Notamacropus eugenii: one gene and its partner. The protein of the gene in region 1 purifies or fractionates together with the protein of each later gene. This does not show direct contact. Links are inferred from orthologs where the notes say so. Each region holds a gene or a part of one and is shown on either strand. Other genes may lie near its edges.

Region 1 (7,445 bases):
TTCTACTCGTATAGATTTTTTACTAAATATTTTAAAAACTGAAAAAAATGTTTGCTATATATATATATATATATATATATACATATATGCGCGCACACACACACACACACACACACACACACACACACACACAAACACACTCCTAAAACAGTGTTAAAGCTCAGACCTACCACCTGCAACATCCTGCTGTACAATTTCCAGGGTGGTAGGGAAAATGCATAGAAATAAAATTATTGATAGCTACTAGGAATCAGAAGTTAGGTCTGAAGAAGCTAAAAGGGATTCACTGTACTTACTATACATTTTTCCTCTAATATACAAAAGAAGACTGGACTTGAAGCCAAGAGACCAGGGTTCAAATGCCATTTATACTCTTTGCTGAAGGACCATGGGTAAATCATTATCTCCAGTTTCCCCATCTGCAAAATGAGGAAACTAACACTTGTACTACCTACCTCAAAGAGTTGTTATGAGGGAATACTTTGTAAATCCTAAAAAAGCAATCAAGGCACGCTCTAATTTCTTTTGAAATGGAGATAGGGATATACCTTATTGACAAGAACACTACACTATAATAGAAGACAGAGGGACCTAAAGAGAGGGATGCCTGAAGATGAACAAAAGCAACAAAAACAATTCAATCCAATTCAGGGAGTTTTGAACCCTGAGAATGGCTCTCTAGTGGTATCACTGGTACTCTCATTTACTAGGTGGAGACATAACGAGTCTTTTGGAGAGTAAATGCAGCTTGTCTTATTTTTTTAAATCCTGTCTTGGCCACCAAGGTAAATGGATTTTAAAATGATGGAGCCTTATTCTATAATGGAAAAAAGGAACTTCTACATATTCATCTGCCTGGTTTTCTTCTCTAACTCTTAAGAAAGAATGAGCCTGTAAAAGGTCTGGGGACAAGATAAGAAATGGTGACTGGTAGACTGCCAGTGGTGGTCAGCTTTCAGGCAAACCACCATCTTCTCCCTGCAAAGGCATCTAAGGATCACAAATAATATTTTTTTTAGGGGGGAGGAAAGGATGACAAATGTGCTAATCCTCTAACGTTTTTTTTTTTGGTTTTACCAACAAAATCACTAAATAAAAAGAAAAGGAATAAATAAAAAGAGGAGGAATGAAAGCTGAAGACAGATTCACCAGAAAAGACCACTCTTTAAAACACCCAAAAGTCATAGCAAGAGATGCAATATTATTTCTCCTATTACTTATTATATTCCACCTCACCACCTCTTACACATCACCATCCTTCTCAAAGCCGTCATATCAAAGATACATACTAATATGCAATACTGAGGAAAAGATACACAGCCCCTAAACTACCCACAAATAGTTGGCTCCAAACCAAAGAAAGTTGGCTCTTCTGCTGTACTATTGTCGTCAATAATAACTTAAGGGTCTTATACTAGTCCAGGGAGACACAGGGAAGCTTATAACGTCAAAGCGAGATGACAGTACAAAACTATACCAATCAATCAACTAATATGTATTGAGCATCTTACTATGCTAAATGAATTTTAAGGACTTTTAAGAAGCTTGGAATCAGAAAATCTGGAATCTATTGACAAATTCTTCATTGCAAGGCCTTGGAGAAGGCTCTCTTTAGGCATCAACTACATCATCATTAAGAAGGAAGAGAATTATACATTTTAACATTACTACAGCCTTGAATTTAAACAGCATTTTTCTTTTAAAAGGCTCAAAGAGCTACATACACACACATATTACTTCACTAATCCTCAAAAGATCCAGAAGCAAAGGATCTGGGGAAATTTACACTACACTTCAGAAGTGGGGGAAATCGAAGCAGAGAGATAAGTAATTTGTCTGAGGTCACACACAAACAAGAACTCAGAATTCTAACCTACCATACTGCTACTAAGGGATAAATAAAATGATGATGCTAGTGCCACCAGAGTATCACCCTATCACAAAAGTCTAAGTAGAGAGACCCTCTCCCTTGATTTCCCCACTAGAAATAACAGTCACACATTATTAGAGTCTCAATTTCTTTTCCCAAAGAAGACACAATCCTTTTATATAGTTTTTAGAAAGAAACCCTTATTCATCAATCCACTCAACAACCACTTATTAAGCATCTGGTATGGACAAAGTCCACTGCTAAGTATTGGGGAATATTTTCCTTAACCCAGCCCACTTGATAGAAGAGAATGAGAAAATAATTTTGAGTTCTAGATTTATACCTTCTTATTTCAACATATGGCTTTAACATGCTTGGAAAACTCCTGTGAAGAAAAGATGCTAAGACATATGTCAGCAAGGATAAAAGTTTTTTGGTTTTGTTCTCCCCACCCCAGCAGAAGAGCAATAGAGGGAACTAATGGGAATGTAAGAACCAAGTGAGTTTGGGGGGCTATAAAAAGACTAATGGCTAGAGACCACATAAACTGAGAAGTCATACAGAGAGAAATAAGGCTTGAGCTTCTGCCTATACACTTCAGTTCAGTGCCATCAAGCACACAAGGAACTACAAAGAACAGTCAAATAAGCAAATGGAATTGAAGGAATTTTTCATGTATGTCTCAAAAACTGTCCCTACTCTGTTGAACAGGAACCACTGTTCATGTCCAAACAAAACAAAAGGACTATTCCCAACAAACAGCCTGCCATCTAGAATAGCAGTTCCTGGTCCAGCATCCTCAGGATTCTAAATTAGTAGAGGTATCTTTCAAAATAGTTTCTCCTTGTGCTGGCATTCTCACTAAGAATAATGGTAAGGCACATATGGAAAAGGGAAATTGGGTCCTGGAAAGTCTGGGGTCTCTAGAAAACAGGTCAGTAATGGCCGTGGGGAGAAAACTTATCTCTGACAGAGACAAAGCCCAAACTTAAGTCATTGTTAACTCAGGGTCCTAAGGAAAGTAAGCCTTACTGAGCCCCAACTCTGAACTCTCAGCATCTGATGTTGCCTGGGTCCCCAAATTACAATTCTCTAGTGACACACACGGGTTACTAGAATCTCTCAATCAGAAGATTTACCCTAAACCTCTACACTCCTAAGAGCAAAGAAAAAAGCTCACTCCATACTGCCCTAAACTTAGTTCACAGTAGTTACCTTACAGTAATGGATGCTATGTATTCAAATTTCTTTCTGTTTGTAAAAACACGTCTTGTTTAGCTTTACCACAAAATAGTCACTAGCTTACTCTACCAAGGTATCTCAGAACACTGCTTCTTTCTACCTGTCGGTCTTACAATCTAACAATTATAAAAAAGAATCGTACAATTCTTTCACTATGAAAGAATCTTTTTTTGGCTAGCTCTATATTAAATTCCAAACCTAACTCTCAAGCAAATTCAATTCTCAATTTCTTTCAAACTGAGCCCCAACTCTGAACTCTCAGAATCTGATGTTGTCTGCGTCCCCAAATTAAAACTCTCTAGTGACACACACTAACTACTAGAATCTCTCAATCAGAAGATTTACCCTAAACCTCCGCACTCCTAAGAGCAAAGGAAAGAAGCTCACTTTAAGCTGTGCTCACTCCAATAGCAGGAAATCACTGCTGAGCAATGCCACATGGGAACACAAATAGCATCTCTTTAAATGGCACTGTGACTATCAGAGGTGGTTTAACTTGGGGCTCCCAACCCTAACTAGTCTCTTGATGAACAGCCTAAAAGAGCCACCCAGACCAACATAGTGAGAATCTCCAAAAGCTAGTCTGAATACCATTTTCAAAACTGGAGGAAGTTCTAAACTGATCTACTACAGGCGGACACTTCGTATAAAGTGTCGTGCAACAACAAAAGGCATTATTAACTTGTTACCTAAAGAAAAACATTCAATATGGGTAAAATGACCTTCTCTTCCCCTCTTTATGTTAAAGGTTTCTTACCCTCTCTCTCCTCCTCCTTCTGTCCTATTCCTCCTCCTCCTCCTCAAGGCTCCCGAACTTTCTGAAAACAAAGTGTCTGTGTTAGAATGGTCAAAAAGGATGTAATTAATGAGATGTCGGGACCTCTGAGGATTTCCAATCTGTCAGCTGTCAGTCTGGAGGGAAAGCAAAATTCCTGCCTCTAACCCAAGAGAGGGAAGGTTACAAGCACAGGAATTTGGTCACTAGGAAAAGGATTTAATCCCTACTAAAGAAGTTGAACTATCTTCACCATTTCAGCATGAGGTGAAAGGCACCCCCACACACGCACCCCACAAGAGCAAAGCTTGGACACTCAATTCCTTCTCACAGGCACCCAAGGGGCAGAAGCCAGGAAAAAAGGAGGTTGGGAAGGAGGGGGAAAGGGGACAGTCTGGTCACCTCCCACCTGTGAGGACAGAAGACAAATCTGGGGACAACTAGGATGGGGGCTCCCCAAGTTCTCGTGCCAGGAGGCAGAATGCCTAGTGCAGGCCTAGCCACTCCCACGGGCCATTCCCCCCCACCCCAAGCCCCTGGGAGGACTTTGCCCCTCATCTGTCAAGGGCCCCATTCCAGGAAGCCCCTCCGGCTCCAACCTCAGCCCCTCCCCCCCACAGGGCCCCCTCTGCTCTGCTACACCCCTTCTTCCCCCTAGGCAGCAGCTAAGAGTCTCCCCCCACTTGCTCACGCCCCCTTCCTCTGAGCCCTTCTGGGACATCGGATCCCTCCCCTCCAAGAGCCCAGCTCCAACACCCACCAGAAACCCACCCCCTACACCCCCACTCCCACCATTCCCCCCGCCCCCCACCCCTGCGCCCGCTACTCCACAACCACTTCCGGTTCCGGGAGGGGGGGAGAGGCACACACAGAGCCCCCCCACCCCCTTCGGGACAGGGAGGAGGGCACACGGAGCGCGCCGGCAGCGGCGGCGGCGGCGCCGCGAGACTCACCCGGCTCCAGCGGCTGCAGCAGCAGCAGCGGCGGCGCGAGAGTCAGAGAGCGGCTCGGGAGGGGGCGGCGCGTGCCTTTTGCCGGGAGGAGGCAGAGGGGTGGGGGGGAGGGAAATGGGATGAGGGGAAGTGGAGCTCGAGAGAGCGCGCGCACTCGGGGCGCTGGGCGGACTGACGGACCCTCCTGCCCCCCACCCCGGAGGCGTGTGTACTCACGGACGGACGGACACACACACCACACACACACACACACACACACACACACACACATACACACGCCCCGCTCCACACACCCGCAGGGCGGGGGCGCGAGGCACTGGGCGCCCCCCCTCCTCTCCACTCACCCGGAAGTGCTGCTGGCGCTCCTGCACTGAAGAACCCAGATTCCTCCCCTCCCCACCCCCCTCCCTCCCCCCTCCCCCCACAGGCCTGGAGAGGAGCCGCTGCGGCGAGAAGGCGGGAACACCGGAAACGAAGGAGGGGTGGGGAAAGGAGGGAACTGGGGTGGGAGGAGAAGGAGGGGAGGGTGCAAAGGCCCAGTCACTTCCGGGAGCGACTAGAGCGATTCTGGTAGTACGGGCACCTGGGGAGACGGACACCCCCGAGGCGGAAGTCGGGATGAATGAGGGCGGAAGTGGCTTCGTCGAAGGGCAACATTTCAATGGTCAGAGGTGAACGTGACGTGAACCGGAACTAGCGGGGGTAAGTAAGGGCAGAAATGAACTCACTATCCCTAGGGGGCATTTGGCGCGTGGGGGCGGGACTTCTGGTTGAGGGAAGGAGGATCTTCGTCTCATGAATTATGAAGCAGTCCTCCTAAGGTAAGTGGAGGGGGTTGGTGCGTTAAAGGGCGAGGACCTCATTTCAGTTCGGCCCACGTTCAAGGCTGTATATACTTGGTCGTGGTCTAAAGACAAAAGAGACTAGCCCTGCGCCTAAGGAGCTCCCGTTCTCTTGGGAGGGTGTAATATGGCCTGCGACCCGTGGAGCTGCGTATTTGCGCCAGGCTGACTTAACAGCTTCGGATGTTGACCCCCCCCCCCCACTTCTCGTGGGTTGGGTGCTGGATTTGGTGCCCCATACCCGTATTCATGACTCTCGTTGTGCTTTTGATTCTATGTTGTGGTGGTTTTCAGTGAGAACGTGCAAAAGTTGTAGTTCTTAAAAAGCACGCTTCAGTGACTCTTAGAAGTACTCAGCCACTATTTGTGTGGGGAAATCATGTTTCAATGGTCATTCAAGTCCCAGTGAAACAGGGTGGTGTGTGTTCGTCCAGGCCATCAGAGACATGGTGACAGGACTTGCATTGGACTTTGTTTAAAGGGAGGGAGGGCTGTGCAGGTCACCAGCCTCACTTCTCCTCCAGAGCCATCTGAATCCAGTGACCAGATATTCATCAGGATGACTGGAGATGACCCAGGATGAGGCAGTTGGGGTTAAGTGACTTGCCCAAGGTCACACAGCTAGTGAGTGTCAAGTGTCTGAGGTGAAATTTGAACTACTCCTGCACTGGTGCTCTATCCACTGCACCACCTAGCTGTCCCAATGAAACAGGATCAGTTGCACTGGTTTAAAAAAAAAAAAAGAGGAAAACAACACAGAGAACTGACAAAATATTACTACAAAATAGCCTGATTAATTCCCAGAAGATAAGCACAGACCTTCAGAGAACCCCGGGTTTGGGAGCTTTTACTGATTCCTTTACAACGTGGCATAAGCTTTTGAAAGTTGGAAGAAAAGCAAAAAAAAAAAAAGTTGCTAATTATTGTTATGAATTAAAAACTGCTTATGGTGGGCAAGATAATACAAAGACAGATGAAGATTAGGAAAAGGTAATGTTTTTTTCTTATGAAACTCATCTTTTTCATTCAAAGTTTTATACCAGAAGTCCAGATAAACCTGTAAAACACGTGCATCTTCATCAAACTGTTAAACCATCCATTCCTCCAAAAAAATATTTTGGAAATCTTTTTACTTCATCAGGAGTGAAATTCTTATCCCCAATGTAGGAATGATGAATGCTGGCAACTATATTATACTGAGAAGCTGAATTGTTCCAGAAGTATTAGGAAAACTTACCTTGTATATATGTCACAAAAGGATAAGGATTTATCTAAGACAGAGATAAACATGTTTCAGTGACCTGGAACTGACTTATTGAAAACTTATTAGTTTGACTATGGTTTGTGACAGGTTTTATTTTTCTTGCTTTTTCAATCAATGCAAGAATTGGGGGGCAGGGTGTAGGAGGGAGAGAATTCAGAGATGAAGATAAAATTTTAAAAAACCCTATAAGCAGTAATCAAGATTAGATTTGGGGAAATGAGCTATTTGTTAAAGTTATGCTTAAAATCCAGTGTGATAAAAGTGTGACTTCCTGTTAAATTAGAGAATGTGTCAATATCTTGTGAACTCAGTCCAAAAACATCTAAAACAAATAATTGCAGCCAAAGAGGGTATATTTTATATTAAAAACATTAAAGATATAAAATTTTGTAAGAATTATTGCATCACTCAATAAATTTAAATTATTTAAATCACTGTAACTACAAACATAATGAGGATACATTATAAGAGGAGAACCCACAGCTGTTCTCCTAATTCT
Region 2 (7,298 bases), on another chromosome or scaffold:
AAGATATCCAATCGTGCCTGTAGTGGTAGAGAGGAGAGGGAAGCCTTGAGCACCACACTCCCCTCCTCTTAGGCAGCTACACTTTCCCCTGAGTGCTCTCTACCACCAACCTCCTCATTAGGGGGCGGAAACTCAATCTTCCTGTCAATTCTACCAGGGCGAAGTAGAGCAGAGTCCAGGATGTCAATTCTGTTGGTGGCCATGATAACCTGTGAGAAAAAAGAGGGCTTGTCAGCTGTCTTTATTCTCTTTTGCAGGCTAGGTTCTACCCTTTTCTTCTTCTCTACCTGCTCCAACCAGAGTCCTTCCCACCTTGATGTTTTTAGTGGCTTCAAAGCCATCCAGCTGGTTGAGCAGTTCTAGCATTGTTCGCTGTACTTCACTGTCTCCCCCAGAACCACCTTCTAGGCGTGAAGAACCAATGGAGTCAATCTCATCCATGAAGATGATGGAGGGGGCATGTTCTCGGGCCATAACAAACAATTCCCGTACCATTCTTGCCCCTGAAAAACATAGGACGTGTCAAAAGCTGAGTACGAAACTGGGGGAAGGATTCTGGTTGGCCCCGCACCTCATCTAACCCATGGTTACCTCATGACTTTATCTTCCCCTACCATGCTCACCTTCACCAATGAATTTCTGTACCAGTTCTGAGCCAGAGACACGAATAAAGGTGCAATCAGTGTGATGAGCCACAGCCCGAGCCAAGAGAGTTTTGCCAGTTCCTGGAGGTCCATACAGCAACACACCCTAGGGTAGGGTATGCGAAACTCAGTCCTCTCATAGTAAATTCCACCTCTATTCTCTCATATCCCAATTAATGTCTTTCAGGCACAACTGCCTCTGACCTCTTTGTGACTTAACATTGGTATCTGGTGCAGGGCATGGATGAGAACCTCCCATTTGGCTCCCACAGTAAATCCTACCCCTCACCTTGGGCTGTGCAATGCCTAGTGCTTCAAAGAGCTCAGGATGCTTAACAGGCAGTTCAATCACTTCTTTGATCTCCTTGATCTGCTTGTCTAGGCCACCAATCATCTCATAGGTTGAATCAGGCACTTTTTCCACCATCATCAAAGATACCAATGGATCTACTTTGTTGGGCAGAATTTTGTGCAGGGTGTAGCTGTCATTTCGAAGAGCCACACGGCAATTGGGTGTCACCTGGTTATGGTGGATGATTTTAGAAAACATCACTACAATACAGCACACAGGTTCCAGCCCCTTACCCCCTTTATTCCTTGCTACACTTACATCATTGATGTCGATGTTCTTATCTACATCAACCACAAACTTCCCTTCAGGATGTACCTAGAGGGAGGAGTTTATTAGCTTTCCAAGTGGCATCAGTCTCCATCCCAGGTACCAAGTCATACAACCAAGGAAAAGTCAAGGAACATTAAAAGAATATGTATCAACCAATAAGATGCAACACTGTCCCCTCCCAAGGGTCCATTTAAGGGGTAACAAATATAGCAAATAAACCTGTTTCAGTCCCTGGGGTCAAACTCTGTACCTTGACCAAAACTTTCTTTTTATCCATAGCTCGGACCACTTCCCCCACATAGGACCCCTGCTCCTGCAACAGCTGCAGCTCCTCCCGTAGCAGGCGCACTGTATGAGAAGCAAATATGAGCAGTTTTGTTTCTTTTAATTTTGCAACGTTTTGCTAAATAGCTCAACAAACTACCTGATTACCATTCCAGCCCAGTAATTCAAATAATTCAAGCACTGTTGTGAAGCATAAAATATTTTGATCTTTAAATGTTTTCAATATATTTAGAAATGTAAATAATGCTAATCCAATCATAATGCTTCTGTTCAATTGTTTTGGTTGTGGCCAACTAGTGGTAACCCCACTTAGGGTTTTCTTGGCAAAGACACTGGAGCTATTTGCCATTTCCTTCTCCAGCTCATCTTACAGTGAAGGAAATTGAGGCAAACAAGGTTAAGTGATTTGCTCAGGGTCATACAGTACTAAGTGTCTGAGACCAGATGTGAACTCAGGAAAATGAGTTTTTCTGACTCCAAGCTTGGCACTCTATCAACTGCACCACACAACCGCTCAATCACATGCTAGTTTGTATTACTATTTGAAATGTAGCAAGGGAGGGTACCACCCAGAAAGTCAAAACAGAAGCCAGAATCTATGAATCCCAGTCATTATGCTGGGCTCCCACCTTTTGCATTTAGCTCATTTCTTTGTGCTTGCAAACGACGTAGATTTTGGCTCTTGTCATTCACGATCAGCTGAAGTGGGCAGAAGATAACAAGTATAATGTATAGGCAAGTAGCTAAAAAAAAAAAAATTTCCTGGCCAAATTTCCTAAATGTGATTATGAAAAGGGACAAGGTCTGCTATACCTGGTTTCAGATTCTAGCAAACAGATCACATCCACCCTGTTCTATGCCTCAAAAAGTCCTGCCATGATTCAAAAAGGTCCAAAGAAGAAGCTAATTCTAGCCTAGATATTACATGCCCTCACAAAGAGAGCTTCAAAATTCTGGGGGACCTTTATTTTTTTTATTAAAGCCCAGGTCAGTTATTCACTACAACAATGGAGTTTGTAACACAGACCAGACAGCTGCTAACCCTACCTCTTACAGCTACATACTTTATTTTTCCTACAAAAACTTTAAAGCCCCCACCGAAGCTTGTGAAAATATCCTTCACTACGTCTTCATTCCACCCAGTTTCTACTCTTAGACCTCTAAAATTAGAATTCTGGGTTTTCTGTCTTCCTTGAGCTCAGGCCCAAGCAACAGGTGTCTTCCCAGCATTTGTCACGCGGAAGGTTCCCAAGCTTCTTCATCTCACTTATTTTTTTTCAACCCAACCCCCTCCCTATGTGGCCAGCCCAACTTTCCATGCCTTCCCTCCCTCCCTAAGGGGGGGTCCTTGGAGACTGATTTCTTTCCCCTCCTCCCAATCTGACCCCCACTCCCATAACACCCGGGCTCTCCCTCCCCCCTCCATCCCATGGCCTCCCGGAGTGACGCTGACAGAGATTCCTCCCGGAACCTTCAAGCCCTCCTCGTCCCTTGCCCCGCGTCTCACCTGAAGTTCCTCGATCTTGGACAGGTAATACTGCCGCAGCCCACTCCCGGCCTTGCCCTCCTCCAACTCCATCTGCTGAAGAAACGTTATCAGATAACATTCTGGGGGGTGCCTACGGCACAGAGACCCGTGAGGCTGGCACAGCTCCCTGCCCGCCAGGAGCCTGCCATCAACGCGGGCGTGAAAGCGACACGCACCCGCACGAACACCAATCACGCGCGGGGCACGAGGGCGGCCCCGCCCCGTGCGATCTGGGCTCGGGGCCGCATCCCCGGCCCCTGACCCGGCCGGGGCGGCGCTGACAAAGCACGTCGGCCTGTGGGGTAGCACCGGCCCTAGCTGAAGCTCGGCCCCCGCCTCCATCGGATCCAAACCTGGGTTCGGTTTGTCCCCCGCCCAGATATGACTTCCAAACCCCATCTGTCCCCGCAATTTCCCTGCCCGGGCCCCGCCGCAACCTTCCTACCTGCTCCGGTCCGTCCAGCGCCATCTTCCTTCCTCAGATCCGGATGCCGGCATCCAAGTGAGTTCTGGGCGCAAGCGCAAAAGGGCGGGAGCCGCCGCGGTCCGCGATTAAACTTCCGGGTCAAGCGACGCGACTCTCAAGAATGATCGCTGGTAGAGGCCATGTTGGGAAGGTCGGAACTCCACGTCTGGCCATTTCGGAGAGCGAAGAGAGGAAATGACCCGAAAATGCCCCTCCCAGACACTCCCTCGACAATTGGCTCCTACTGCTCCCTCACCCGCTCGCTGGGTCTTAGGTTTACTTGTATGGGAATCCAGGGCGGAGCTCTTGGGGACGTCACTTCCTGCCTCTGACTTCCACGGCAGTAAAGGGCTTGGATTAGATCACCGTGAACGTCCCGCCCTATGGGAAAGTCCAAACCGTCCTATCAAAACCACCTCAAAAATCTTTCTCTACAGACTCAAGATGGCTGAAGGGGCGGAGTCATCTCCGTAAGAGCGAAGGCGACGGAAGAGGGAGGGAGCGCATCCCCAGCCTACACGTGCCCCCGAAAGTTGGGCCGGAGGTTCTGGTGGGCCTCCGCGCGTGCGGCGGAGACTTCTCCCCGGCCAGAGTGAGGGCACACCTCCCCGCGGCGCCATGGGAAAGAAGGGCAAAGTCGGGAAGAGCCGGCGGGACAAGTTCTACCACCTGGCCAAGGAGACCGGTGAGTCGCGAGGACCCCGCGGGCCCTCCGTCCGGGCCTCCGTCGTCCGGGCCTCCGTCGTCCGGGCCCCCGGCCCCGCTCACTCGGCCCCTCTCCTCCCGCAGGCTTCCGTTCCCGCTCCGCGTTCAAGCTGATCCAGCTGAACCGCCGCTTCCAGTTCTTGCAGAAAGCCCGGGCCCTGCTGGACCTGTGCGCGGCGCCCGGGGGATGGTGCGTGCCCGCGGCCCCTTCCTCGGCCTTCCTTCCGTCCACCCCCACCCGCCGCGCTCACGCCGGGCATTTCCTAGGGCGCTGGTTCTTTTTATCTGCCCCTCCCCGCGCCCAGCCCCCGCCGCGGGACTGACAGGTTACAACGCCCCTCCTCCCCCTTCACCATCCCCCCCCGCCCCCACAGACACGCACCCAGGGGACAGAAGCGGGCTCCTTCGTGCTGGAGGAACTTCCCAGCGTCATCTCCTCGCTCTCTTTAACTCCCCAGGCTGCAGGTGGCTTCCAAGTTCATGCCAGTGTCCAGCCTCATTGTGGGTGAGTGTACCGTGTGGCCCCCCGCTGCGTGGGCTGGGGAGTTTGGGGTCCCACCCGCATCCCCCGTCGTAGCTGGGATCTCACCCTGCGTGTTTTTTCTAGGAGTGGACCTGGTTCCCATCAAGCCCATTCCCAACGTGGTTACGCTGCAAGAGGACATCACAACCGAAAGATGCCGCCAGGTCAGCCTTTGCCCCTCGCTCCTTTGGGGAGTCCTTGCCATGGGAGTGAGAGCTTTGGCCGCGTGAAGGAAGAAGCATCTGCTAAGCACTTGCACTGTGCCAGGCACCAGGGATATAGATACGTACAGAAGATGATCCTGGTGGTGGCATAAAGGAGACTCATTCCGGAGTTTGGGTTCTGAGTGAGGGTAACAGAGAGGGCCAAGTGACGAATGGCTGGAGCCCTCAGGCCAGACCACAGTGGGGGACGCATTTGTGAGGGGCATGAAATGGCTTCTGGTAGGGGCAGGGGGAACTAGGGATTGGGGTGGGCACAGGTGGTGAGTGAGTGGGGGTTGGAGCCAGGTGTGTGTGTTCAGTGTTAAGGATGGGATTTGTCATCATGGATTTTTTCACTTGAGAGAAATGCAAGTACGTAAGCGGGAGAAGACTTGGGACCCTGTTTTACCCATGGTGTAACGTCCAGTGTGGTTGTGCTGTTTATACAAGGCTAGTTGTGTTGTCCTTGACTTTTGTCATTCTCCATTTTCATGTCCATCATGTGTTTCTTGGTTTAAGTGAAAACATGTATCCAGCCCTTGAAAGGGGCTACACCATAGGGAAGATCTAGAGTTTGGTAAGGAGGTGTGACTTTCTGTTTGCCTTTTCCAGGCTCTCAAGAAGGAGCTGAAGACTTGGAAGGTTGATGTTGTGCTCAATGATGGGGCCCCTAATGTAGGGGCTAGCTGGGTCCATGATGCCTACTCACAAGGTACCTAAGGAGATTTGGGGCTGGGACTATTCACAGATAGTGAACACTCTAGCTGACGAGTCTTGATTCCCCTCAGCCCACCTGACCTTGATGGCACTCCGTCTGGCTTGTGATTTTCTTGCACGTGGTGGCTGCTTTATTACTAAGGTTTTTCGCTCTCGTGACTACCAGCCCCTTCTCTGGATTTTCCAGCAGTTGTTTCGCCACGTCCAGGCCACTAAGCCCCAGGCCTCCCGTCAGGAATCGGCAGAAATCTTTGTGGTCTGTCAGGGTGAGTTGTCTTTTATCCCTGTATATTCTACTCCTAAGGCCTCTTTTTTTTCCCCTTTAAAGCCTGTTCTTATCTTTTCCCTTTTCTCTATACGCTTCTCTTCCAGGTTTCCTGGCTCCTGATAAGATTGACAGTAAATTCTTTGACCCCAAATTTGCCTTTAAAGAGGTTGAAGTTCAGGCCAAGACTGTGAGTGAATTGGTAACCAAGAAAAAGCCCAAGGTATGTATGTGAAAGAGAAGTGCACATACCCTGAAATCTCTGAGAATCATTGAAAACACCTCAAAGGGGACTCCCCTGTCTGTTCTGTGTTTCTTTCCTGGTCCCTAGGCTGAAGGCTATGCTGAAGGGGACCTCACCCTCTATCATCGGGTCTCCCTTACTGACTTTCTCCAAGCAGCCAACCCTGTTGACTTCCTCTCCAAAGCTAGTGAGGTGAGTGTCCAGAATTAAAGAGACTTGTGGAAGAGTCTCCCTGACCCAACTAGGAAGTTTAGTCCTTTCTAATGATTCTCCTTCCTTGCTGAGCAGATCATACTAGATGATAAGGAATTGGAACAGCATCCAGCTACTAGTGAGGACGTCAAGGTGTGCTGCCAGGACATCAAAGTACTGGGTCGAAAGGAGCTCAGGTACTGGGGCGAACATCTCAAATCATGAGACTGAGAGGGACCTTGGGCAAGCCTGAGTGTGTATGAGACAGAGTAAGGCCCAAGGAGACTTGAGGAGCAAGTGGTAACTGGTACCTTTCTTGTAACAGGAAACCTTTGTCCCAGAAATTCGGGTTTGGGACAAAGCATTGATTTTCACTTATTTTGTGATCTTGGTATCTGAATGTAGCTCTGATGCCCTCAATGAAACATTTAATGATGATAGAGTAGGGTGGTCAGTAACAGGGCTTTTGGAACAGGTCCCTGCTGAATTGGAGGACAAAGCTTCGTCGGTTTGTGGCCAAGAAGCTAAAAGATCAAGCAAAGGCACTGGACATCAGGTAAGCTGAGGATCAAGGCAGAGCATAAAATTTGAGGAACATTGGAAGAGGGCTAATGACATTGACTGTGCCTTCATTTATCTGTTTTACCTCCATTCCAGTCTTAGTTCTGGAGAGGAGGAGGAGGAGGAGGAAGAAGAAGGAGGAAAAAAGACAGCAGCTGCTGCTGAGGATGATGAGGAAGATTTGGATAGGGCTCTTGCAGAAATGAAAGCCCAGGAGGTAGCAGAGCTGAAAAGGTGAGAGAGAAGGGTTTGGTAACAGAGCTAGGGCCTTATAAGTAGGGAAGGAAGAGAGCAATCCCAGGACACAAAGTATGGGAGTGGGTAGATGGGGGGAGTACTACAT

Evidence for each region.
Region 2: the proteins of NOP2 (region 1) and FTSJ3 fractionate together in Homo sapiens (co-fractionation; 3 studies listed by BioGRID and IntAct, with this or other methods). This does not show direct contact. The link is inferred for Notamacropus eugenii from reciprocal best matches to the Homo sapiens genes NOP2 and FTSJ3.

What each region holds. Positions count from the first base shown.
Region 1 is NC_092874.1:194,961,218-194,968,662, forward strand, and holds the start of NOP2 (28S rRNA (cytosine(4447)-C(5))-methyltransferase), read right to left. Parts: upstream 3,218-7,445; 5' UTR 3,182-3,217; exon of another isoform or gene 3,155-3,181; intron 1-3,154. UniProt on the Homo sapiens protein: S-adenosyl-L-methionine-dependent methyltransferase that specifically methylates the C(5) position of cytosine 4447 in 28S rRNA. Required for efficient rRNA processing and 60S ribosomal subunit biogenesis.
Region 2 is NC_092873.1:343,826,654-343,833,951, forward strand, and holds the start of FTSJ3 (pre-rRNA 2'-O-ribose RNA methyltransferase FTSJ3), read left to right. Parts: upstream 1-4,096; 5' UTR 4,097-4,163; coding exon 4,164-4,230; intron 4,231-4,334; coding exon 4,335-4,440; intron 4,441-4,708; coding exon 4,709-4,755; intron 4,756-4,857; coding exon 4,858-4,937; intron 4,938-5,588; coding exon 5,589-5,688; intron 5,689-5,764; coding exon 5,765-5,959; intron 5,960-6,065; coding exon 6,066-6,181; intron 6,182-6,289; coding exon 6,290-6,394; intron 6,395-6,490; coding exon 6,491-6,591; intron 6,592-6,869; coding exon 6,870-6,950; intron 6,951-7,051; coding exon 7,052-7,189; intron 7,190-7,298. Other genes in the region: PSMC5 (26S proteasome regulatory subunit 8), read right to left, coding at 1-17, 111-209, 313-503, 624-750, 934-1,164, 1,255-1,311, 1,517-1,614, 2,181-2,250 and 2 more.